Sus scrofa: one gene and its partners. The protein of the gene in region 5 purifies or fractionates together with the protein of the main gene of each other region. This does not show direct contact. Links are inferred from orthologs where the notes say so. Each region holds a gene or a part of one and is shown on either strand. Other genes may lie near its edges. The genes, in order: MAP1LC3A, SLK, FAM129B, RBX1, KEAP1, IKBKB and GABPA.

Region 1 (3,641 bases), on a different chromosome or scaffold from region 5:
GCTATGAATATATCTTTTGGTTAGTTTTTCTCTCATATACTTTTTCCCATCTTTTTACTTTTGATTTCCTTAGGTTTTAAATGTCCTCTTGTAAACAGCAGAGCTGCATTTTATTTTTCTTGGCCAATTTGTTCATCTGTTTTAACAGGTGAATGTAAAACATTTAATACCTCTGGTTTTGTACCATTTATATACCATTCTTTTCACTTTGCTTTCCCTTTTCTCTTTTTCTATCTATTACATTTTTTTAATACCCTTTACTAAACTTTTCTCTTTTATGCATTGACATATACTTTCTATTCTTTGAGTGATCCCTCTGAAGTGTTTGAAATACATACTTGACTATACAAAGCCAGGTAATTATCAGTTAGCTTTATCCTCTTCCTCTCCAATAAATCAAGCTTCTTAAAACACTTGACCTCTGACCCCCCTCCCCAGTCCTACATGTGCCATGCTCCTGTGCTATGCTCCAGACTCATCAGCACCATTCTTGTTCCACAGCAGGTGTTTGTTTAGATCCACTTCCCATTTTACCAGCTTAGTAGCTTACCATTTTTCTAATTTCTTCTCCTTAGAGTTGGGCAAATTCACTACAGAGTGTCTAGATGAGTTTTTATTTATTCTGTTCTGGATGTTATATGAGGATCCTGGTTTTTAATCAATTTTGGAAGTTTTTCTCCAGAGCTTCACGGTCTTTTCTCTCCTTCTGGAATGCTAATTAGACCTGTGAATTCTCACTTTGCCATTTCTGTCACTTATTTTATACCATGTAAACATGGTTTGTTTTCCAGGTAATTGCTTCTGCTCTCTCATCCACTTCAGTGATTTTCTTTTTTGCTATATCTAACAGGGCTTGCTTGCCTCGTCCTTCTGAGACCTGAATTTCAGTAGCTGTTTTTCAATTCTAGAAATTCCTTCTAAAACCTCTAGGTTCCTTTTCAGTGTCTTGCTGTCTTCATGTTTTAATGCTCACCCAACCCCCCACAATGACCACTACCTTTTTCTTTCTCTAACCATATGCTCCAGGATGAAGACTTCTGGTTCACTGTTGTCATCCCCAATGCCTCATACGGTCCCTGGAACAGAAAAGACTCTGAGCGAGGGCTGTCTGACGCCTTGGTTACAGTGGAAACAGAAGGATGCTATGCCGCAGCCTGGCCAGCTCTCCCCACCGCCAGACCAGCCAGCCTGCTCCCTGGCCTTGCTGGCGTCCATTCTCCCCTCACCCTGGGCCTGGGGGAGCCCACCTCGCCTGCCCCTGCACAGGCCGTGACGTCACAGGACTGTGACGCTCACTGGGCGCCTCCCCTCCTTCGCAGTGTGGGGTTGGGGGTGGGGGCGGGAATGCAGGCTCCCTGCGCCGTGATGTCACGGGCCCGGGCGGGCAGATTTTGCGTCGGCCCAATGGGAACGGCGCGCTGGCCTCCCCTTTAAGGAATGTTATGACCTGACGTCACCCGGGCGAGTTACCTCCCCGAGCCGCCGCCGCTGGGCTCAGCGCGAGCCCCAGAGCCCTTGAGCGGGAGACGCGGAGCCCCCGGAGCCCCCAAACCACAGCCACCTCCCCGCCTCGCGCGACCGGGAGCCCCGGCCTGCGCGCTCCGCCGGGCCTGTGCGATGCCCTCAGACCGGCCTTTCAAGCAGCGGCGGAGCTTCGGTGAGGCCCGACTGGCGATCTGCGAGCGCTAGGGGTGGGGGCGTGGGGGGGTCGGGGGTGTTGGCAGATCTACTTGTCTGCCGCAGGTGACGTCAGCTTCATGACGTCAAGCTCGGGTTGGACCCCTGGGCTGGGAAGCAGGCTAGGGCCTGGGCCCGGGCCTCCGCCTCCCATCCCAGTGCTGTGCCCCGGCCCTGGCCCTACCTCCACCCGCCTGGGGCTTGGCGGGGGGCGGGGCGGGGTCGGGGGCCGCCCCTCGGGGACTAGTGGGGCGGAACCCAAGGAGAACCTCGGCTGGCCTCATCCCCGACTGCTGTCTGCAGCCGACCGCCGTAAGGAGGTGCAGCAGATCCGCGACCAGCACCCTAGCAAGATCCCGGTGAGTCCTACCGCATACCCCGCCCCCGTCCCCTGGCCCCAGGTCCAGCCTCCCGCTCACGCGTCCCCGCCCCACCTCACTCCCAGGTGATCATCGAGCGCTACAAGGGTGAGAAGCAGCTGCCAGTCCTGGACAAGACCAAGTTCCTGGTCCCAGACCATGTCAACATGAGCGAGTTGGTCAAGATCATCCGGTGCGCTGGCAGCAGCTGTCAGGAGGGGGACTTGGGTCCTGCTGGGATCAGGCATTGGTCTGGGTCCTTCTGAGAAGGAAGGGGTGGGGGTGGGACATGGGACGGGGTGCCGAAGCCCTCTTCTGGGGAGGTTGGGAACGGTCAAGGTCAGGCCTGGGATCAGTATCTTGTCAGAGGTGAGAGCTTCTAGAAGGGGCTGGGATGGGTGTGAGGGGGAGAATCAAAGTCAGGGTGGGTAGGGGGTGAGGGCTACACTCACCCAGCGGCCAGGCCCCTCACGTTTGGCTTGCCCTCCCGCCCACCTCAGGCGCCGCCTGCAGCTGAACCCCACGCAGGCCTTCTTCCTGCTGGTGAACCAGCACAGCATGGTGAGCGTGTCCACGCCCATCGCGGACATCTATGAGCAGGAGAAGGATGAGGATGGCTTCCTCTACATGGTCTACGCCTCCCAGGAAACCTTCGGCTTCTGAGCCAGCAGTAGGGGGTGTTGGCTGGGAGTCGGGGGCCCTGTCAGGCTCTGCCCAGGGAGCTCCTGGCACTGGAACTAAGCTGTCTCTGCCCCTGCCCCTGGTGGGTTGGACAGGGATGCTGCCACCCAGCCAGAGGGCACCTATCACCCCTACTCTGCCCCTGGATGGATTCTGGCCCAGTCATATTAGGGTTGCCCCTCCGGGTGCTGGCTGGGAGGGGGAAGAGTGGGAAGCAGCCCCCAGCACCCCTGCCCTGTGTGGTTTGTCTTTTTTTTAGACCCCTGCCTGTCTGCCCACCTGTCCCTCCCCAACCTGAGGCGCTGCCCATGCCTGGATCTGCCCACCCCTGAAGGACTGGGTCCTGGCTCACCTGGTCTTGACATGGTGTATGGCTCTGTGGTCATTGTCCCTTTGCAGAATAAAGATTGCTCAGGCCTGCCTGGCCCTTTGCCTCCAGCTGCTTGGGGAGTGGGGAGGGCTGTGGGTGGGGCTGCCCCCACCGTTGTCCTCTCACTGGTGCACAGACTTGTGTGCTGTGGACTCAGGGCTCATTCAGGAAACCCACGCCTGTGTATAGTGCATCGTGGGGGTACTAGAGGCCAAGCCCACCTCTTCCACGAGGGCAGCATGGTTCCAGGTAGACGTTTTCATAACAAAAGAAACATTTATTAAGTAGCCACAGCCTAACAAACCCTGCTCACCTGCTTCTTCCCCTTTCCTGCTTGGGAGGGGCTCCTGGTGTGCAGAGCCACACAGTGGGGGCCAGGTGGAGACTCCTGGCTCCGCCCCACAGGCCTTGCTGCCAGCCTTGGCTCCTCACTGGTGCCAGATATTCATGACCCTGGACTCAAACCTCATCTGCCCCAGGGCTTGCCTGCTGGCAACGCTGGCTAGAGGGCTTGGCCCAGCTTCTGGGCCTTTCGCCCCCTGAGGTCCGTGCAG
Region 2 (3,500 bases), on a different chromosome or scaffold from region 5:
GTGTATATGTGAAATATCTCCAAAACATTGCAGAGATATACCTTGGAAATTATTTGAATGTTTTCCTTTGCTAGAGTGGTAGAGGGAAAGATAAAGTTGAGGTAAATAAGAGAAAGATGCTTTATAAAATTGAGAAATACTGCAAGAAGTAGAATTCTTTTATGGCAATAGAAGTGAATATAAAAATAATCCTTAAAACATCTTTCTGTCCAGATGATGCTGGAGATATACCTAAATAATTTTATGTACTCATTATGCTTTGTGATATTGGTATACTTAGTTGGCTACATGATAGAATGGAAATTTAAGCACTTATTTCCCCCTATTAAAAAACCTTTGATTTTCTTTTCTGTTCTTCTTTTTTTTTTTTGGCTGCACTCGTGGCATGTGAAAATTCCTGGGCCAAGGATCGAATCCACACCACAGCAGTGACCCAAGGTGCTGCAGTGACAATGCCAGATCCTTAACCTGCTGCGGTAGAGGAGATCTCCTTTTTTTCTTTCTTATTAAGATGATTAAATGTAATTTTGGTATTGGGAGTAGGACATTCTCTTTATAGGACATTAGAATAGAAGGGATATTATGTTTACATTGGTAATACTTCATTTATAGTTCAGAGTGTAATGTGTGTAAAAAATAGTGTATTAGAACACTTTTGTGTGAATATTAAAATATAACCCAAAGTACATTAGTAAAAGGAACAAGGTAACATTTTGAAAATTACTTTCTTCTTGTAGCTCGAGAAGCTGCGATTTGGGAGCTTGAAGAACGGCACTTACAAGAAAAACACCAGCTGCTCAAACAGCAACTTAAAGATCAGTATTTTATGCAAAGACATCAGCTACTTAAGCGCCATGAGAAGGTTAATGAAAGGAAAATTTGTTCACTTTTTGTTCATTTTAAAGTTTGCAGAGCTATTTATTTCTGAAATATTTCTTAGAGAATAAATTTTAGATTTCCTTTCTTTTATCCTAAAATTTCTTTGATGCAATTTGGAGTAATTACTTGTATATTGATCATGACTGTAAATTTCTTTTCTACAAATTCCAAGGAAGGTAACTAATTACAATGCTTAAAGACCTATTATACACTATAATCTTTTTCTTGTCTTTCAAAAGTAGCTATTTTAGCTCCATTTATAGTTCAGGTATCTTAAAAATGTGGACTCATACTTAAAGAAAGTCAATATAAGACTCTTATTACTAATAGTTCTATTTTTATTATAAATTATTTTTTTGTGTAATATTTTGCTGGTCAGTATGCAACAAGAGAGAAAGTCATTTGGGGAAACAAAGGCAAAATGTTATTTTTAAGCATACATGTGGCTACTGAGTATTAAATTTTATCATTGTCACTGGATTCTGTTTCAAATTTTCTTAGGAAACAGAACAAATGCAGCGATACAATCAACGACTTATTGAGGAATTGAAAAACAGACAGACTCAAGAAAGAGCAAGACTCCCTAAGATTCAACGCAGTGAAGCGAAGACTCGAATGGCCATGTTTAAGAAGAGTTTAAGAATTAACTCAACAGCGACACCTGATCAGGACCGCGACAAAATTAAACAAGTAAGTAAGCAAATTGCTCTCTTCTCTTTTAGGTTTGAAATTTTTAGATGGCCTTGCCACACTGTTTTGATTACTGTGGCTTTGTAGTATTGCTTGAAGTCTGGGAGAGTTATGCCTCCGGCTTAGTTTTTGTTTCTCAGGATTGCTTTGGCAATTCTGGGTTTTTTGTGGTTCCACATAAATGTTTGGATTGTTTGTTCTAGTTCTGTGAAAAATGTCATGGGTAATTTGGTAGGGATTGCATTGAATCTGTAGATTGCTTTGGGTAGTATGTTGGCCAGCTTTTTAGTTAAACATATGGTCTCACTATACTTCTGCAGTCACAGGGCCCACATAGAAATTAACTGAGGTCACTAAGTAGTTGGGAGGTACAAGGATTTAATCAGAAGTCTCTCCCTACCCCCGACCAAAGCCATGATGTGGACTGCCATTTTAAATCCCAGAATATTATTACTTGGAGCTTTAGTTTATTATACTTTAAGCTTTGTTAAATTCCATAATTATACCTCTGGAACATGCAGACATTATATTATTTGTTAATCATATTTATCTTTTGTTTTTCTTATTTGTAGTTTGCCGCTCAAGAAGAAAAGAGGCAGAAAAATGAGAGAATGGCTCAGCATCAAAAACATGAAAATCAAATGCGGGATCTTCAGTTGCAGTGTGAAGCTAATGTCCGTGAACTGCATCAACTGCAGGTTAGATCCAAAAGCGGGAACACAAAGCTGGTCGTAGATGCACAGCACAGATGACCGGTTTTGAGGAAGTAATAGCTACGCAAAGTAAGCTGCAGCTTGCTTGTGAAGGCGGGGTGATTTAAAGGTCTTCTTTCTTCTGCAGACCCAAATGAAGATCAGTTGTTGAGATTTTATATAACTGTGATTAATGTAAACATGAAGCTAATTTATAATCCAAGAAGTGGAATTTTTCAAAAGTACTATTGGGAATTTTTAGTGTATTTTGCAGAGAAGATGAACAGAGTTTTTTTAAATGATGAAGGCAGTTTTGTTAGATTCTAAATTTAAAATTTCTTTTTATCTAGGGAGAAAGAATTCATTTTCTTCAAAGTTTTTGGAAAAAGGGATAATTTCTCCTAAGGAATTTAAACATTACTTTAGAGAGGACTGTTTTTGAACCTTACCTAAGTATGCAGCCCGTCTTATAGACAGATAGATAGACAGCCTAAACTGTTTACAATTTCAGAGTAGTGTCTACATTGTGGATATTCTATGTATTTGCCTAATTTACTAGAGCAGAATGACTTCTTGGGGTAAAATCCTTGAAAGGTGCCCTCTCTAAGTAAGGTGTGTCAGTTGTGTAAGTAAACCTTCTTAGAAAGGGAAATCAGGCTCAAACTAGTTCTTTCTATTCAAGATCTTTTCATGTGGTAAATAACAGATCTAGCCTCTAAACTTGCAAAAATAAAGCAGTGACTCATTTCATAATTCTTGGCCCTTGATTTTTAGAGGAGAATTTCAACCTCAGTAATAGCCTGATGTTTGATGAGTACTTTATTATTTTGAAAGATAATTGTGTTTGTGAAAAATTGACAACTTGATCTGAAATGTTTTTAATCCAAACTTAATTTTCAGAATGAAAAATGCCACCTATTGGTTGAACATGAGACTCAGAAACTGAAGGAGTTAGATGAGGAACACATCCAAGAATTAAAAGAATGGAGAGAGAAATTGAGACCTAGGAAAAAGGTAATTTTAAAAACTTTAATTAAGATATGCTTGTGAAGTTCCCATCATGGCTCAATAGTTAATGAACCTGACTATTATCCATGAGGATGCAGGTACCATCCCTGGCCTTGCTTAGTGGGCTGAGGATCTCGCGTTTGCCGTGAGCTGTGGTACAGGTCACACACGTGGCTCGAACCCTGCGTTGCTGTGGCTGTTCTGTAGGCTGGCAGCTGCAGCTCTGATTAG
Region 3 (3,500 bases), on a different chromosome or scaffold from region 5:
TATCACCACGGCCGCTCCCACTGCCTCTACGGTCAGCAGCCACCACTAGCTGCGTGTTCATCACATACCAGGCACAGGGCCCCACGTGCTTCACTTCACAGAGTTCCCATGATCCAGAGGTGGGGCCCATTCTTAGCCACAAATTCACATAGTTGGGAGGCAGCCCACCTAGGACGTGAACCTGGTCTGTCAGCCTCTAGAGCCCAGGGTCTCTGACCCTTAGGAACTGTCCACTAACTTCCTAGGTTCTGAGCACCACACAAGTGTTCTCCTTGGGAGGAAGTTAGGTCTGGGCACTGCTTTCTTACACCAGTGGGGAGAAAAAAATGGTTCTGATGTGGGAGCTCATACAGCATGGCTGCCATGCTGCACCCTGCCACTAGGTGTCACTATTCAGCACTTTTTTTTTTTTTTTTTTAGGGCCACACCTGCGGCAGATGGAGGTACCCAGGCCAGGGGTTGAATCAGAGCTGTAGCCTCCAGCCTACGCCACAGCAACTCAGGATCTGAGCCACATCTGCGACCTACACTACAGCTCACGGTCATGCCAGATCCTTAACCCACTGAGCAAGGCTGGGGATCGAACCTATGTCCTCATGGATACTAGTCGGGTCTGTTACCCCTGAGCCACGAGGGGAACTCCTCAGCACACTTCATGAGGGGTTGGCACCTCCACCACCATGATTTTCCACAGCAGCAACAGCACCCTGGCACGTGTTAGAAAAACAGATTCCTAACTCTACTCCAGATGTGAATCAAACTCGGGGCGGGGAGCTCCTGCTTCTTAACGAGCCCTCCAGGTGATCTTGGTGCTTGAGAAGCACTGCCCTGGGGCCTTAGATGACTTCTGACTCTGCTCATGTTACTGTAACAGGGATTTGCCTCCAAACACAGGGCACTGAAGCCTGTCCTTTGGCTGCTCTGGAGAACTGTTTGGTCGAAAAATTGGGGTCTGTGGCTCAACCAGGTGGGCTTCACCAAGGGCCCGAAAAGCAAAGGAACAATCAAAGGACATAGCCTCCCATTGCAGGGCAGGGGGTTGCGGGGGAGCCAGTAAGGAAAGAGATAGGACCGCCACCCAGGGGTCATCTGAGTGGGGACTGGCCAGCGTGCTGTGGCTACTGAGGAGCGAGGGAGGGGGCTGGGCGGAGGAGAGCCCTGGAAACGGAGCCATCTCGAGGGACCTGGGGTGGGCGGGGGTCCATGATGAGCTGCTTACAGAGCGAGAGGCAGAGTGAAGGGTGACCCCAGAGAGCTGGGTGTCAGGATGGATGAAATGCCACTTAGAAGGAAGGTTTGGGGAGGCAGGAAGGGGGTCGGGGAGGGTGCTGAGATTCTGTTTTGGGCCCTGGCACCCGCCAAGGGAGGGCGGAGGTGTGGAGTCTTAGATTTAGGGGCCGGGGGACCGGGGGAAGAAGCAACCTGCCGGGCCCAGGAGGAGCTGGAGGCTCCGTGCGGCCGGGCCGGGGGCCTCACCACTTTGTTCTCGTACAGCACCAGCCCGTAGTTGTGGGGCACGAGGCTGAAGCGGTTCCTCCACTTCTTGTTGTCCTCCTGGTACTGGAAGAGGTTCCCCGAGAAGATGATGCGTTCCTCCAGCGGCACCTGTGAGAGGGGAGGGCCAGGGATGAGGCCCAGAGTGCGAGTGGGGGGTCCTCCGAGGAGGTGAAGCCTGGGCGCTCACCCCCTGCTGGGCACACCCCACCCCCACCTCAGCGAGCCCCCTCACCCACCTCCGAGGCAGGGCGGCATCTCACCCCTCGGGCAGATGAGGAAAGTGAGGCTCGGGCAGCGAAGGGGGTCCAGGTAGGGCAGGGTTGCCGGCATGTGCACCCAGGCCCAGCACCACAACACGGGACTCAGACAGGACCCCACTCGGTCCTGGCCCCAGGCAAACAGGGAGCCCAAGCCACGCTGCTCCCCCATCCACCCCCACTGCGGCGTGGGTGGTCGCTCCAGCCGGAGGGGACATGTCCACGACCCAGGACTGGGAAGACCCCAGCACCTGAGCACTTCTCTTCCCAGCTCAGTCTGGAGGGTTCCCACTGGACCTGCAGCCCAGACCTTCCTGCAAAGCCCTCGCTTCGACGCTCCCTCTGACTCAGTGTGACTGTCACAGCACCTCTCTGGGCCTCAGTTTCCTCATCTGTACAAAGGGAGCAGTGACGGCACGGACCTCACCAATGTCATCTTGAGCAAAGGGGACACCGCTGGCACCTGGCAGGCAGCACGAGACTCGGGGGCCCCACGACCACGACCCACTCTGGCGCTCCTGTCCGTCAGTCTCCGGCTCCTTGGACTGACTTATTTCGGGAAGGGGAGGGGGTGGCCGTGCCTGAGAGCGTGCTTCCTGAGCAGACAGCACCAGGAAGCTTCAGGAAGGAGATGCCAAGGCCACGAGGGAGCAGACTTACTCCTGGACGGGAGGAAGCCGGGGGGTCAAGCTCCTGTTTCTCAGCAGCTTCTAACTGTCCTACAACAAATAGGGTGGCTTTTGCAAAAAGAAACACGTCTCATATGTAATAAAGGGAGGAGGGATTATTTTAGTGGTGCCCGACCCTTCCAAGCTTCCTGCCTGGCTTCTGGGTCTGCAGGGCAGCAGGAGGCAGAGGTGGGCGGCCCCTCCCAAGACTCCCCCACCCCCACCCCTCAGCTCTGTCTCCTCACCACAGCCTCCCGCCACTCTTCAAGGGGAAATGCCAAAACATTCTTGGAAAATGAGGGCCTATTGTGCTCAAACAATGAGACCCGAAGACTGCTTCCTACCCGGGGATAAAAATATTTACAGGAAAAGAAAATGGTTCCCCTACCAGGAGCCCCCCTCCCACCCCCAGTGGGCTTTGCCCAAGTCACAGAGCTGGGCTCCGTGGTCTATATTTAGACTGGGGCCTACTCTCAACCCAACTCTTGAATCCCTGGCCCTTCTAGAAAGAAAGCAGAGCTCTCACTACGCCCTGGTCAGACCCTCGCTGCCCCCAGGCCCCCGGGTCTGTGGCCGCCCCTCTGTCTAGAGCCCGAGCCCAGGGCCCAGGCAGGCCTTCCCGGGGGAAGGCCCCCCAAGTCCACCCCCAGGCCCTGGAAGAGGCCCGCAACGGGTGGCTGGTTGTGGGTTTGGGTTTTATTTTTAAGGCTTTCAAACGGCAGAGTCGTATTTCCACTGGAAGCCCTGCAGGAAATGAAACGGAACCCGACAGCCCAGGCCAAATATTTTGGACTCTGCAAAGCTCTCGGATGCCCCGACGGGCCTCTTGGGTGGGAGGCGAATGGCTGGAGCGCGGGGCCCCGGGGCTCCCGTCCCGGCTCCACCGGCCGCCCCACTGGAGCCCAGACAAGCGACTCCCTCTCCATGCCTCGGCGTCCACCCCTGTGACAAGGACATGCTCTCAACCCCTCGGAGCAGTGTCAAGACGGCTGGAGGACCAGCGCCCACGCCACAGGATGGCTGTTTTCCCTAGTTCTTACTTTCAACTAATACAGTTGTATTATTATTTCTAATAAAA
Region 4 (3,500 bases), on a different chromosome or scaffold from region 5:
ATAGATGAGTCCTTGTCTAACTAACCAAGAGCTAGTTTATGAAACAAGGCAAGTTTCACGTGTCCATCTTTTAAGACCACGCGCCCGCCAAGCTTGAAGTGAGTCAAAGAATGGCACCAACCACAACACCCACCCTTACAATGTCAAAACAGCCAGAGACACCTACTTTTGGAATTCCCACTCTCTGTTGTCCAACGGACACACCTGCCGTGTTTTGAGCCAGCGGGAGATGCAGTGGAAGTGAAAAGCATGCTGGAAAAAAAGACAAATTTTATTAAAAATAATCCTGTGCAGCCTCAGCTATCTACTGACGATCCATCTCATCTCCAGGGCAGTAGGGTGGTTACACACGGGGCTGGAGAACAACGGGCGGTGACAAACAACAGGAGACAAAAGAGCCCCAACTGGCTATACCTTGGTTAGGTACAAGGCCATGTCCAATGAAACATCTGTTAGAAATGTCATTACTAGAAAGCATGGCGGATGTTCCAGCAGGGAGCTCTCTTCTCTTCTTTGTGTTTTTTTTTTTTTTTTGCTTTTTAGGGCAGCACTTGCAGCCATATGGAAGTTCCCAGGCTAGGGGTCCAACCAGAGCTGTAGCTGCTGGCCTACGCCACAGCCACAGCAAAGCGGTGTCCAAGCCACGTCTGTGACCTACACCACAGCTCACAGCAACGCCAGATCCGTAACCCACTGAATGAGGCCAGAGATCAAACTGGAGTCCTCATGGATGCTAGTCAGACTTGTTACTTGAGCCACAATAGGGACTCCTAGTAACAGTCTTGAGATCTGGTCAGTGTGTCTCTTAAAACATGCCTGGAACTTAAAGAATCATAATGTGGATTATCACCTATGAACTGTCCTTTGACAAAACAGAAGCAGAGCTCAGTAGGGAAGCATGGAGTCCACAGCCAGTACCCGGGCCACCAACAGGACAAATACTCCCCCAGAGCTGACAGCCTTTTGAAAGATCCCTCTCCTCCTGATGACCATACAGTACAAAAAAAGAGGAAAAAAACAAAACTTCCCAAAGGCAGAAAGCAGAGGCATTCTTCTCAGTCCCCAGGTGGCAGGGACAGGCGCACTCAGGCCACCCAGCCCCGGCTCCCCGCCGTGCACCCCGCAGCCGCACTCTCCCAGCCACCTCGGGAGATGGAGGCAGAGAGGGGCTGCAGGCCAGTGACAGCATCCCTCAGCGTCCCGGATCCCAGCCTCCTGCCCGTTAACAATCGAAGACCTAGTGATGGGTGCATGGAGCAGTCTCAAAATACACTGCCTAGCGCTTCACGGGAGACCTGTAAACATCTATGACCTCATTTGAGCCTCTGGCAACCCTGGCGAACAAGCACAACAGGTATTATTATCTTCATTTTACAGACAGAAAACTGAACCCCAGACAAGTTAAGTAACTTGCCTCATTCACAGGGTGGTCAGTAAAAGACCCAGAACTAGAACCTGGGACTAGTCCAGATGTTTCAAGCACACCTGGCAGCTCTTATTGGCAGGCTCTTTCCTTCCGGCACAAAGTGCCACGCTTCTTAGTAAACGCCTGGATGCCATGGAGAACACAGACCCGAGAGACTTTATTTCTTGGTCCCCATAAATGACAGACATTGTCCCTTGGCCAACAGGGGCTAATGTGAAACTGCCAAGGGGCCCTGCCGGCATTAGGAAGGTGCCCACGGGGTGTGGGCAGGGCTTCCACCTGAGGGAGAAAAGGACTGACAGGGACTCTCTCCTCAGGATCACCACCCCAACTTTAAGCTTATTAACAAGTACGCTCGCGACATGCACGAGGTGTTCTACGCACCTCTTCTTTTTTTTTCCTTTTTATGGCACCTGCAGCATATGGAAGTTCCCAGGCTAAGGGCTCCAATCGGAGCTGCAGCTGTAGGACTACGCCAGAGCCACAGCAACACGGGATCCGAGCCATGTCTGCGACCTGCACCACAGCTCACAGCTCACAGCAGTGCCGGATTCTTTAACCCAGTGAACGAGGCCCGGGATCAAACCCGCAACCTCATGGACAGTAGTCGGGTTCTTAACCCACTGAGCCACAAGGGGAACTCCCTCCAAGCACTTCTTAAGAATCAGTTCATCCTGATGCCGACCCTCAGCTCCATTTCACACGAGGCTTAATGAGGCCAATACCTCGCCTGAAGCAGCAGAGACAGGAAGTGGGGGTCTGTCTTCTTAGCCCTATGACAGGCGGGGAGCCCTCTGTCCCCTGGGCACAGGATGCCCGGACAGGACAAATTTAGCTCCTATGACTGGGACTACGTGGCTATAAGAATGAATTTTTTCACACTTGCTGGAAATAACATACTTGGTGTTTGCTGTCATTCACAGCTGTCACACCCTGGAAGGCTGGGCCTTCAGTCCAACGATGTTGCACAAACATTTCTGGCATGAGCCACATTGAAAATAACCCCAATCCCAACTTAGTACATTTGCCAAACTTAAAATACACACATAAACATGAACAATTTATTCACCTTAGTTCCACAAGACATCTAGCCTTTTAAAAATCTCAAGAAATTAAAGATCTCAGAGTTCCCTTCGTGGCTCAGCAATTAAGCAATTAACAAACCCGACTAGGATCCATCGGGATGCAGGTTCGATCCCTGGCCTCGCTTAGTGGGTTAAGAATACGGTGTTGCCGTGAGCTGTGGTGTAGGTCACAGACATGGCTCGGATCCCGAGTTGCTGTGGCTGTGGTGGAGGCCGGCGGCTGCATCTCCAAGTCAACCCTTAGCCTGGGAACCTCCATATGCCTCAGGTGCTGTCCTAAAAAGCAAAAAAAAAAAGGAAATTAAAGACCTCCACTAACAGGAGAACGTTGCTGACAAAAGTGGGTGCCCTTTAGAATGAATACTGACTCTGCAATAACTAGTAATTTTTACCTCGTAACAAGTGAAAGTACAGTGATTTAAAGTCTTTTTTATTATTTAACCATTTGTGTACCTTTTGGGAGAGAGGTGGACGAATCATTTTATTTTTCTTATTTTAAAGACTGGCAAAGCAGGGAAAGCGGTACTATGTTTACAAGCCATGCTGATAGGAAAGAGGTTTCCTTACGTTACAGACTCCCCACGCAACGGTGCACTCTTCAGAAGTAGCCGACGCCTGGTTGGCTTGACACTCTATGCCTGTGGGAACAAGAGCAACGAGATCACTGGACCCAGGCGCAACCACCTTGTCATCTACAGCTGCCCTCTCTGCACAATTGCACAACAACACGACTGGGGTGGCGGCGGTGGTGATGGCGGAAACATGAACAAAATCTCAAGTGGCTAATTAGTCATAATTGTTTTTTAATGAATGTGGAAAGGAGCAAAGACTAGAAAAGGCAGAGATCCGACTTAGCAGTGTGCTTTGCAACAACTTCCTACCCTCGTTTGCAAGTGGAGTAACAAAGGAAAAGGCACTTTTTAATTGTGAACATAACCTGACTTGTCCAAATGCAAGTGATTCCTCCTAATTTGGCAAATTTAGTAATT
Region 5 (3,035 bases):
CCATAGGATACCTGGCATTGGTGGGTTTGGAGTAAGGCCAGGAGTGGGAATTTTTAATACACGCCTCAGACAGAGGGCTCTAATGTACATAGTCTTTGAATAGGACAATAAGATGATGCATCACCCTCAGCAGGCCACTTTCAAGATAAAAGGGGCCCTAGGAATTATTCTAGGAGCACAGGCCTGAACTGAAAATGCCCCAGCCAACTGGGATATATGGTCACTCCATCTTTGACCATCATAATTTGAGAAGAACCATGCCAGGCTGTAGCCATGTTGTTAGAACTGGGGTTCTAGTGTTCAAGAAGGCTGGATCACACCCCAGCTCTGCCACTTCCTTGGTGACCCTGGGCCTGCCACTTCACCTCTCTGTGCCTCCGTCTTGTCATCTGAGAAGTAAGGGACGATCATGAGGACTGACTTCGCCACCACACTGGATGGTCTTTGGTGAGATGACACACGTAACACTCAGTACAGGGCCTGGCGGTGTTGTGATGGAGCCATTGGGGTCCAGCAGATGTACGTGTGACCTTGAGCAGATGGTGGCTATGAACCTTAGTTCTCTTATCTGGAGAAGGGACCTACTGATAACTTGTGCCTGAGGGAATCCTTGTGAGGATTAAAGAGTTCAAGTGCCTGGAGGCCTAGCAGAATCTAAGTGTGGGGGGGTCAGTGTTCCTGGTTAGCAGTGGTTGCTGTTGTCACTGTTATTATGTCCTTGCAGGTATGAACCCGAGCGGGATGAGTGGCACTTGGTGGCTCCAATGCTGACGCGAAGGATCGGGGTGGGAGTGGCTGTCCTCAACCGTCTGCTCTACGCAGTTGGGGGCTTTGACGGGACAAACCGCCTCAACTCAGCAGAGTGTTACTACCCAGAGAGGAATGAGTGGCGAATGATCACACCCATGAACACCATTCGAAGTGGGGCAGGTGGGCGGGGGCTTCAGGGAGGGGAGCCAGGAGACACACCCTCTCACCCCTAGGAGTGAAACTTGGCCAGGCCACTTGTCTCAACCTTGAACCCTGTGGCACACACAGGAGAGCTAGATTCTGAGAGTCCAAGCTCCTCTGTCCCAGCTTTGTTTTTGAAGGTTTCCTCAGAAGAGGGGAGAAGGGAGAGGGAAGGGAGAGGGGAGGGTCCCCCCGACCCGAAAAGGTGGTGGCCGGGGCACCCTAGGCCAGGCCCTGGAGTCAACCTCTCTGTGTGGTGTGGTTTAGGAGTCTGTGTCCTGCACAACTGTATCTATGCTGCGGGGGGCTACGATGGTCAGGACCAGCTGAACAGTGTGGAACGCTACGACGTGGAGACAGAAACGTGGACTTTCGTAGCCCCCATGAAGCATCGGCGAAGCGCCCTGGGGATTACTGTGCATCAGGGAAGAATCTATGTTCTCGGTGAGGCCCTGGGAGTGGGAGTCTGGGTGGAGAAGCCCATCTAGCCTCATCTTTTAGGGGCAGGCTCAAATCATGGTGGGAAAGAGTTCCATTTGTGGCTCAGTGGTAACAAATTCGACTGACTAGTATCCATGAGGATGCAGGTTCAATCTCTGACCTCACTCAGTGGTTTAAGATCCGGCTTTGCTATGAGCTGTGGTTTAGGTCTCAGACATGGCTCGGATCCCGTGTTGCTGTGGCTGTGGCATAGGCCAGCAGCTGCAGCTCCACTTCGACCCCTGGCCTGGGAACTTCCATATGCTGTACCTGTGGTGCCCCCACCCTCAAAAATCCTGGTGGGAGGCTTCTCGTGGTTTCTCCCTTTCCCCAGCCTTCGGAGGGACTGACCATCCCTTTTACTCTTCTGGCAGGAGGCTATGATGGTCACACATTCTTGGACAGTGTGGAATGTTATGACCCAGACACGGACACCTGGAGCGAGGTGACCCGCATGACATCCGGCCGGAGTGGGGTTGGTGTCGCCGTCACCATGGAACCCTGTCGGAAGCAGATTGACCAGCAGAACTGTACCTGTTGAGCCACTTTTGTTTCTTGGGCAAAAAAAGGGTCAGATCAAGAGTATTATCACTTTTGTATCAAAACAGGGACAAAAGAAAAAGCTACAGAGCAAAGGCTTGTCCTCCAAGATAGGAAGCTGGGATGCCTCAGTGTTAAAACGACAACTCCAAAGGCCAGAGTGGGAACCTGTGAGCCTGTCAGAGTGGTCCCAGGAATGTCTGGGAGAACTTGCCTGGGAGGTGGGTGCAGGAAGGGCGGGCCCCCGGAGAGAGGCCCCCAAACCCACTACCCCAAGACTGGGCCTGGGTCCTACACCAGCAGCCACCACCTCCCTTTGGGATGAAAGCAGGTGCCGAGGACAGACTGTTTTTTTTTCCCTGCAACTCTGTGTTTGGTTCCTTGAGGCCTGGGAAGGAGCCAACTGAGGCCTCAGGGGCTGAGGCCCCTTCCTGCTTAAGGACCCCAGGGACGGGCCTGTACATAGAAACCACTGGATATCGCTGCCCTGGACAGTCATTTTGTTGATAAGTAACCCTGTAACTTTCCAATGAAAATAAAGAACAAACTAACTAGTGTCTTCCACTGGAGCTCTCAGCTGGAGGTCTTGAACCCCTGGGGGCAGAAAGGACTCTTCCTCTGAAATGTACTGAAGTCTTTGATTTAGGGCTTGGATTTGAAACCAGTTTGTTATCTCTGCCCATTGAACTTTTAAATGTAGGGCATCTTTCTCCCCATAGGCAAGCCACACAGGGCTTGCTTTGTCCATCACTTTTAGCTGCTTTAAAGACACCTACCTAACCCCTTTACACATCTCCTAGGGCTCCCTGAGGTTAATTTCACATATGCACAGTGTATATTTTCACAGTTAATTTTTTGGCCACGCCCTCAGCATGTGGAAGTCCCCTGGCCAGCAGGGATCAAACCCAAGCTCCTGTTGCAACCTGTACCACAGCTGCGGCAACACTGGATCCTCGCTGTGCCACACGAGAACTTCCTCACAGTTAATATTTTAAGGCAGACCATCCCCACATGCCTCCCAATTTGTTGAAAGTATCCTTATGCACTTAAGTAACATAGACTTT
Region 6 (3,500 bases), on a different chromosome or scaffold from region 5:
CTACACCACAGCTCACAGCAACTCTGGATTTCTTTTTTTTTTTTTTTTGTCTTTTTGCTATTTCTTGGGCCGCTCCTGCGGCATATGGAGGTTCCCAGGCTAGGGGTCTAATCGGAGCTGTAGCCGCCAGCCTAGCCAGAGCCACAGCAATGCGGGATCCAAGCCGTGTCTGCGACCCACACCACAGCTCACGGCAACGCCGGATTGTCAACCCACTGAGCAAGGGCAGGGACCGAACCTGCAACCTCATGGTTCCTAGTCGGATTCGTTAACCACTGCACCACGACGGGAACTCCTAACTCTGGATTCTTAACCCACTGAGCAGAGCCAGGGATCGAACCTGAGTCCTCATGGATACTAGTCAGGTTGGTTACCACTGAGCCACACTGGGAACTCTGGAAAAGCTAATTTCTGATATGCAAGCTCGACCCAGGGTTCAGTGAGAAAGAGGAAGATGGCAGTGAAGAGCCTGGTACCCTGGGCAGGGCCTCGGACCTGGGGGCCCTGCCTACCCGTCCGCAGAGCTCCACGGCCTGTTCCATCTCCCTCCAGGCCAGCAGCAGTTTGTCCGATGCTGGGGGAAAAAAGGAGGGAAAAATGAAAAACAAAATGAAAACACCCCCACCCCCACAATCCAAAACAGAGATAAGCAACTCAAATAGGAGAGGACAAAAGAAACCTCAGAAAAAGAAAAAAGAAAGAGACTGTCCCTCCAGACTTTTTTTTTTTTTTTAGGGCCATACCTGAGGCACATGGAAGTTCCCAGGCTAGTGGTCGAATGAGCTCTATAGCTACCAGCCTAGGCCACAGCCACAGCAGTGTGGGATCCTAGCTGCGTCTATGACTTGCTCAAGAACTCACGGCAACACTGGATCCTTAACCCACTGAGCGAGGCCAGGGATCGAACCCTCGTCCTCATGGATAGCAGTCACTTTTGTTTCCACTGTGCCACAACAGGAACTCCCCTCCAGACTTATTGTAAAGGGCACACTCACTGATCCCAAACTCTGTCTGCTCGCTGTACTTCTCCAGGTCAATCTGGATGCTGGTTTTGAAGAAATCAAGCTTGGCCTTGAGCTGCTGGGACATGGAGGCCATGGAGTTCTTCATCTTGGACAGGCAGCTGTTGTTCCGAAGCAGATTCATCCTGCAGCGGCCATGAGAAACGGAAGCTTGGGGCGCCTGTGGGATCTGAGCGCCACTTCCCGTACAATAACAAAATGACCCGAACACCACCAGCAGGCTCTGCTATAATTAGCATCATTATAATAAGAGCAGCCACTTATAACCATAAAGTCAGTTTCCTGGCTCTGAGCAACGCCTGGGGTTCTGCTTCAAAACTGGAACTAGGCAAAGTACACACAGAGTGGCCCAGAGAAGCCACATCCTGGGGAAAGAGCGAGCCAGTCCTGGAACGACGGCAGGGGAGGGCTGATGACCCAAACTGTCGAGGGCTTCCCGGTGGCCCCACTTACACTCCTGCGACTGTGCTGAGTGCACACACCCCACTGGGTCTCACAGGGCCTTCCTCAAGCATCCCCCTGACCCTCGCCGGGCCAACCCCTTCCCACCTCCCCCACCCTATGTCTCTCTCCCAACAGTTGGACCCCTGCCTTGGCCATTGCCCTGTGGCAGGGCCACCAGGCAGCTCTGAATAAGCAAAGCCCAAACCGTGGGCACGTACATGGCAGCACGCTGTCCCTGCTGCAGGCGGCTGCAGTCTTCCTTCAGGGCCTGGATGCTGTGCCAGACCTGGCCCCACACCTTCCTCAGCTGGAAAAACGGGAGGTTCCGCTTGGGCTCTTGCACTGGACAGAGACACATGACTGTCAGGGAGCCATGCCGGTGACACACCGCATCCTGCCTGCGGAGCCCGGCCACTGCCACGTCTACATCGCTAGGTTATGTAACCGCTCTGCCCTGACACGACTGTGTCGGGTATTAGGCTTGGTTACTGTCTCAGACACCCTGTGCCCTGTGCCATTTTGATTTACAGATGCACAGGACATGCGGAAGGTAGACCAGGAATCTGGGAGCAGCGGTTTTCCTGGAAGAGGCCACGGAACTGGGGAGACTGGGCAGGAGGTGGGGGGGCTTACTGTTCAGTGTATATTCTTTTTTTTTCTTTTTTGGCATATGAAATCCCCAGGCCAGGGGTCGAATCTGAGTGGGAGCTGACCTAAATCACAGCTGCAGCAACGCCCGGGCTAGGATTGAACCTGTGTCTTCACAAAGACAAGCCAAATCTTTAACCCATGGCACCACAGCAGGAACTCTCACTGTATGTTCTGTGCGTTTTGATTTGTTGGTATCACGTGAATGTTTCATCATTAAAATATAAAATGGGAGTTCCCATTGTGGCGCAGCAGAAATGAATCCAACTAGTATCCATGAGGATATGGGTATGATCCCTGGCCTCGCTCAGTGGGTCAGGGATCCAGAACTGCCATGAGCTGTGGCATAGGTCTCAGACATGGCGTGGATTCCGGGTTGCTGTGGCTCTGGCGTAGGCCAGCAGCTGCTGCTCCGATTAGACCCCTAGCCTGGGAAGTCCACATGCAGTGGGTGCGGCCCTAAAAAGAAAAAAAAACAAATTAAAAAAATGGCCACGTGATTCAAGTTCAGCGGCCTGTGGGCAGTATTCTCTGTCCTCTGTTTTTTTGTTTTGTTTTGTTTTTTGTTTTGTCTTTTTGCCTCTTCTAGGGCCGCTCCTGTGGCATATGGAGGTTCCCAGGCTAGGGGTCTAATCGGAGCTGTAGCCACCGGCCTACGCCAGAGCCACAGCAACGCAGGATCCGAGCCTCGTCTGCGACCTACACCACAGCTCACAGCAATGCCGGATCGTTAACCCACTGAGCAAGGGCAGGGATCAAATCTGCAACCTCCTGGTTCTAGTCGGATTCGTTAACCACTGAGCCATGACAGGAACTCCCTGTCCTCTGTTTAAATGAGGCTGAAATCAACTGAAGATCGATGTCCTTTCCTCTTCGCTGGGCCACCTCCTCATGTGTTCTAACAAAGAAGGCCTTCTGGATCCCTGACCCACTGAGTGAGGCCAGGGATCATACCCATATCCTCATGGATACTAGTTGGATTCATTTCTGCTGCACCACAATGGGAACTCCCATCTTCTGGCGTGGGGGAGTCCCGAGGTCCAGGGCTTATCTCAAGCACTCTAAGTGACTATTTTTTTCAAAGGCCATGCCATTCTTACGGATGCAGCTGACGCTTTCGGGCTGGGGCCGTGGGGAGATCTGGGTGTCATAGGTGACTCTGCTGTTGTCAAAGAGGAAGACGAGATCCATGTCCAGGGTGCGGCCCTCGTTCAGCTGCAGAGGGACAAGAGCAAAAGGGGCTCTTGGGGACCCATCTCCTCCTTTTCCCAGGGGCCAGGGGACAGGCTCCAGAGTGGCCCACCGGCATCGCCCTCAGCCAGCGCGGCACCCACAAAGCCTTCTTACTGACTTCGGACTCAACCCCCTTCCGCTGCTCCTTTACAC
Region 7 (3,500 bases), on a different chromosome or scaffold from region 5:
CCAAAAAATGGATGCCATGTATATGCTTGTCCCCTCTTAGCTCATTTCCAAATAGAAGATGCATGCCTAAATCACACCTGGAATCCTGTCTGCAAAGCAATCTAGTCTGTGTAGCTTAGCACAGAGAGAGGAATTTGCCAAGGGTATGGAGTGACCCAGTGAGCCATATCTCTCACAGTGTTTTTACAAATCTGTGTAAGTACACAAGATAGAAAATTAGGAAACCATTTTTGGTACATTGAGTTTTAGTTTTTTAAAATGAGCCTTTGAAATTTCTGACTGGAGTTTTAGACTGATTTTAATCTCTGAATGTATTATATTGCTGACAATTATGTTTCTCCAACCAAAGTTTTGTTCAGATTATGAAAATGGTAATTATCCACCTTAATTTCCCCAGGATTTACTGTTGTTGGAAATAAGAAAGAAAATCAGTCTTTTTTTCTATCTTTAAAAGCTTAGTGACCTCTCAATTCAAGTGCGTTTACGAATGGTTGACGAAATTTGAATGGAGGTTTAGGGGAAATTTTTTTTTCTGAAAAATTATGATTTTTTTTCATGTATATTTGAAAAAAAGTGATTTCTTTTATATTACCTAATAAGTGATAACAGTATATTTTCTTATAATACTGGTTCCACAATTGAATTGAATTGTTTTTATGATTGAACTTCACAGTATTACACTTGAGTTTTGTTTTTTCTTTCAAAGCACTTAAATTAACTTTTGATACAGATTGTAACTGAATCAGTGAGCAAACATTAGCTGTTAAGTTGTATGATAGTTTCTTAGAGCTGTCATTTTAACCTAAGTATCTGAGGTTATTTTGTAAAGAAGAGTTTTTTCTCTTTTAAATATCCTAAGGATTTGGGTTTTTCTTCAGTCGAAAATGAGAATTTAATGATGTGAATTTAACTTAAATTCAGTGTCTTTATTTTCAAAACATGTACTTTGTTTCCTTAAAGGAAAAGCAGTCAAGGAGTTCCCGTCGTGGCTCAGTGGTTAACGAATCCAACTGGGAACCGTGAGGCTGCTGGTTCGATCCCTGGCCTTTCTCAGTGGGTTAAGGATCCGGCGTTACCATGAGCTGTGGTGTAGGTCACAGATGCGGCTCGGATCCTGTGTTGCTGTGGCTGTGGTGTAGGCCGGCGGCTACAGCTCCAATTAGACCCCTAGCCTGGGAACCTCCATATGCCGTGGGTGTAGCCCTAGAAAAGGAAAAAAAAAAAAAAAAAAAGCAGTCAATAAATAATTTTAGTTTGCTTAGAAAGACTTTTTAAAGTTCTGAAGTTAGGTAGCTACTCATATTTGCCCTCTCTGGTTTAGTTTTTATTTTCTATTCTACACTGGTACTTTTTTTACTGGTGTTTGTCAATGGGGTGTGTATGTATGTGTGCATGTGTGGTGGTGGGGGTCTTAAAGTGTTTTAGACGTAGAGAAAAGTTGCAAGTGTAGTAAAAGAGTTGTTGGATGTCCTTCGTCCAGCTTCCCCAAATGTTAACTTTCATTACACTTGCTTTATTCTCTCTCCCCTTCATCCTCACATTAGTTTTCTGACGTGTTGAAAAATAAGATACTGGAGTTCCCATTGTGGCTCATCAGGTTAAGAACCCAGTGTAGTCTCCATGAGGATGTGGGTTTGATCCTTAGCCTCGCTCTGTGGATCAAGGATCTGACATTGCCTCAGGCTGTGGCATGGGCTGCAGATGCAGGTTGGCCTCCATGTGGTCATGGCTGTGGTGTAGGCCTGCAGCTGCAGCTCCCTTTCGACCCCTAGCCTGGGAACTTCCATGTGCCGCAGGGGCAGCTGTAAAAATAAATAAGTAAATAAATAAAAGTAAAATAAAAATAAGATTCAGACACAATCTCTTTAGCTAAATACAGTGGTGTGTGTGGTTTCCAAAAACAAGGAATTTTTTTTTTTTTTTTTTTTTGCAGCATATGGAAGTTCCCAGGCTAGGGTTGAATCAGAGCTGTAGCTGCTGGTCTATGCCACAGCTACAGCAACACCAGATCTGAGCCACATCTGTGACCCACACCACAGCTCATGGCAACACTTGATTCTTAACTCACTGAGCGAGACCAGGGATCGAACCTGTGTCCTTAGGATATTAATCATTCATTTCTGCTGAGCCGTGCCAGGAATGTCAAACAAGGAATTCTTTTATATGATCACAATTATCAAAATAAGGAAATTAATGTTTATATAATACTGTTATCTGATCTACCAAAGTTCTGTTGAATTGTTATTTTTATCATTTAATAGAAATCTGTTAAGGAGTTCCCATGTGGCTCAGAGGTTAACGAATCTGAGTAGCATCCACAAAGACATGGGTTCGATCTCTGGCCTCTCTCAGTGGGTTAAGGATCCGGCGTTGCCAAGAGCTGTGATGTAGGTTGCAGATGCGGCTTGGATCCTGAGTTGCTGTGGCTGTGGCGTAGGCCAGTGGCTGCAGCTCAGATTCGACCCCTAGCCTGGGAACCTCCATATGCTGCGGGTGCAGCCCTAGGAAGATAACAGATTTCTCATTTTTTTTTTTTTTTCATCTTTTAAGTTGTCTAGACATAGTGCCAAGAATATTTAAAATGGGTTTTGTTCTACCATTTGAGAATGTATGAACACATAAACTAATCTAAATGTTGTTAGTGACTTTCATTCATGTTCTGACTTAAATATGCTTTTTTATTTTCTCTCCAATTTACTATTAAGGAATCGAACCAAAGCTAAACATCCTGGAAATTGTTAAACCGGCAGAAACAGTTGAAGTAGTTATTGATCCAGATGCCCACCATGCTGAAGCAGAAGCACATCTTGTTGAGGAAGCTCAAGTGATAACTCTTGATGGCACAAAACACATTACAACTATTTCAGATGAAACCTCAGAACAAGTGACACGATGGGCTGCTGCACTTGAGGGTTATAGGAAAGAGCAAGAACGTCTTGGGATACCCTATGGTAATAAAATACATAATAATGATGTTAGGGAGAATAATAAGAATTAAGCTTGACATAGAAAACACTAGGGTGAGTAAGTTATCTATTTTAGATGCAGGATATTTAGGTAATATATTGATTTTCCTGTTTTTTTTTTTTTTTGCTGTTGTTTTTTTGGGGGGTTTGGGTCTGTATATGTGATGGTGCTGGGAATACAAACATACTAAAAAAATTTTGCTCTCAAAGTGTTCACAGTGTAGTTGAAGAGCAAGAAGATAGATGAAAGGAGATAATTGACATAAAGATAACATGTTTTTAAGCTATCAATAACCGGTATAAAGGAAACTGAGAATTACAGTCTCAAAGGGATCATAATGGCCTGGGCGCAGGGCGGTGGGGGGAAGTTGGGGGTTTATTATAGACAAGGAAACTGTTGGGCAGAGGACGACCTTCCAGATAGGAAATGTATGTGCAAAGCTGAGACGTGGGAGTATGCTGTGCGTGAGCATGAGAACATACAGTGAGTGGGGAAGGATTATTCTGTAGCATTATAGAACCGTTTTTGATTGA

The links.
Region 1: the proteins of KEAP1 (region 5) and MAP1LC3A purify together in Homo sapiens (affinity purification with mass spectrometry; 3 studies listed by BioGRID and IntAct, with this or other methods). This does not show direct contact. The link is inferred for Sus scrofa from reciprocal best matches to the Homo sapiens genes KEAP1 and MAP1LC3A.
Region 2: the proteins of KEAP1 (region 5) and SLK purify together in Homo sapiens (affinity purification with western blotting; 3 studies listed by BioGRID and IntAct, with this or other methods). This does not show direct contact. The link is inferred for Sus scrofa from reciprocal best matches to the Homo sapiens genes KEAP1 and SLK.
Region 3: the proteins of KEAP1 (region 5) and FAM129B purify together in Homo sapiens (affinity purification with mass spectrometry; 3 studies listed by BioGRID and IntAct, with this or other methods). This does not show direct contact. The link is inferred for Sus scrofa from reciprocal best matches to the Homo sapiens genes KEAP1 and NIBAN2.
Region 4: the proteins of KEAP1 (region 5) and RBX1 purify together in Homo sapiens (affinity purification with western blotting; 6 studies listed by BioGRID). This does not show direct contact. The link is inferred for Sus scrofa from reciprocal best matches to the Homo sapiens genes KEAP1 and RBX1.
Region 6: the proteins of KEAP1 (region 5) and IKBKB purify together in Homo sapiens (affinity purification with western blotting; 7 studies listed by BioGRID and IntAct, with this or other methods). This does not show direct contact. The link is inferred for Sus scrofa from reciprocal best matches to the Homo sapiens genes KEAP1 and IKBKB.
Region 7: the proteins of KEAP1 (region 5) and GABPA purify together in Homo sapiens (affinity purification with western blotting; 3 studies listed by BioGRID). This does not show direct contact. The link is inferred for Sus scrofa from reciprocal best matches to the Homo sapiens genes KEAP1 and GABPA.

Annotation. Positions count from the first base shown.
Region 1 is NC_010459.5:37,956,365-37,960,005, forward strand, and holds MAP1LC3A (microtubule-associated proteins 1A/1B light chain 3A), read left to right. Parts: upstream 1-1,465; 5' UTR 1,466-1,617; coding exon 1,618-1,657; intron 1,658-1,980; coding exon 1,981-2,036; intron 2,037-2,122; coding exon 2,123-2,229; intron 2,230-2,536; coding exon 2,537-2,699; 3' UTR 2,700-3,141; downstream 3,142-3,641. UniProt on the Homo sapiens protein: Ubiquitin-like modifier involved in formation of autophagosomal vacuoles (autophagosomes). While LC3s are involved in elongation of the phagophore membrane, the GABARAP/GATE-16 subfamily is essential for a later stage in autophagosome maturation.
Region 2 is NC_010456.5:114,947,463-114,950,962, forward strand, and holds part of SLK (STE20-like serine/threonine-protein kinase), read left to right. Parts: intron 1-737; coding exon 738-862; intron 863-1,380; coding exon 1,381-1,569; intron 1,570-2,141; coding exon 2,142-2,267; intron 2,268-3,161; coding exon 3,162-3,275; intron 3,276-3,500. UniProt on the Homo sapiens protein: Mediates apoptosis and actin stress fiber dissolution.
Region 3 is NC_010443.5:268,024,523-268,028,022, forward strand, and holds part of FAM129B (niban-like protein 1), read right to left. Parts: intron 1,606-3,500; coding exon 1,477-1,605; intron 1-1,476. UniProt on the Homo sapiens protein: May play a role in apoptosis suppression. May promote melanoma cell invasion in vitro.
Region 4 is NC_010447.5:7,504,865-7,508,364, forward strand, and holds part of RBX1 (E3 ubiquitin-protein ligase RBX1), read right to left. Parts: intron 3,150-3,500; coding exon 3,079-3,149; intron 253-3,078; coding exon 167-252; intron 1-166. UniProt on the Homo sapiens protein: E3 ubiquitin ligase component of multiple cullin-RING-based E3 ubiquitin-protein ligase (CRLs) complexes which mediate the ubiquitination and subsequent proteasomal degradation of target proteins, including proteins involved in cell cycle progression, signal transduction, transcription and transcription-coupled nucleotide excision repair.
Region 5 is NC_010444.4:69,280,441-69,283,475, reverse strand, and holds the end of KEAP1 (kelch-like ECH-associated protein 1), read left to right. Parts: intron 1-724; coding exon 725-930; intron 931-1,218; coding exon 1,219-1,395; intron 1,396-1,805; coding exon 1,806-1,972; 3' UTR 1,973-2,535; downstream 2,536-3,035. UniProt on the Homo sapiens protein: Substrate-specific adapter of a BCR (BTB-CUL3-RBX1) E3 ubiquitin ligase complex that regulates the response to oxidative stress by targeting NFE2L2/NRF2 for ubiquitination.
Region 6 is NC_010459.5:11,331,834-11,335,333, reverse strand, and holds part of IKBKB (inhibitor of nuclear factor kappa-B kinase subunit beta), read right to left. Parts: intron 3,330-3,500; coding exon 3,215-3,329; intron 1,809-3,214; coding exon 1,685-1,808; intron 1,148-1,684; coding exon 996-1,147; intron 575-995; coding exon 513-574; intron 1-512.
Region 7 is NC_010455.5:189,303,013-189,306,512, forward strand, and holds part of GABPA (GA-binding protein alpha chain), read left to right. Parts: intron 1-2,705; coding exon 2,706-2,951; intron 2,952-3,500.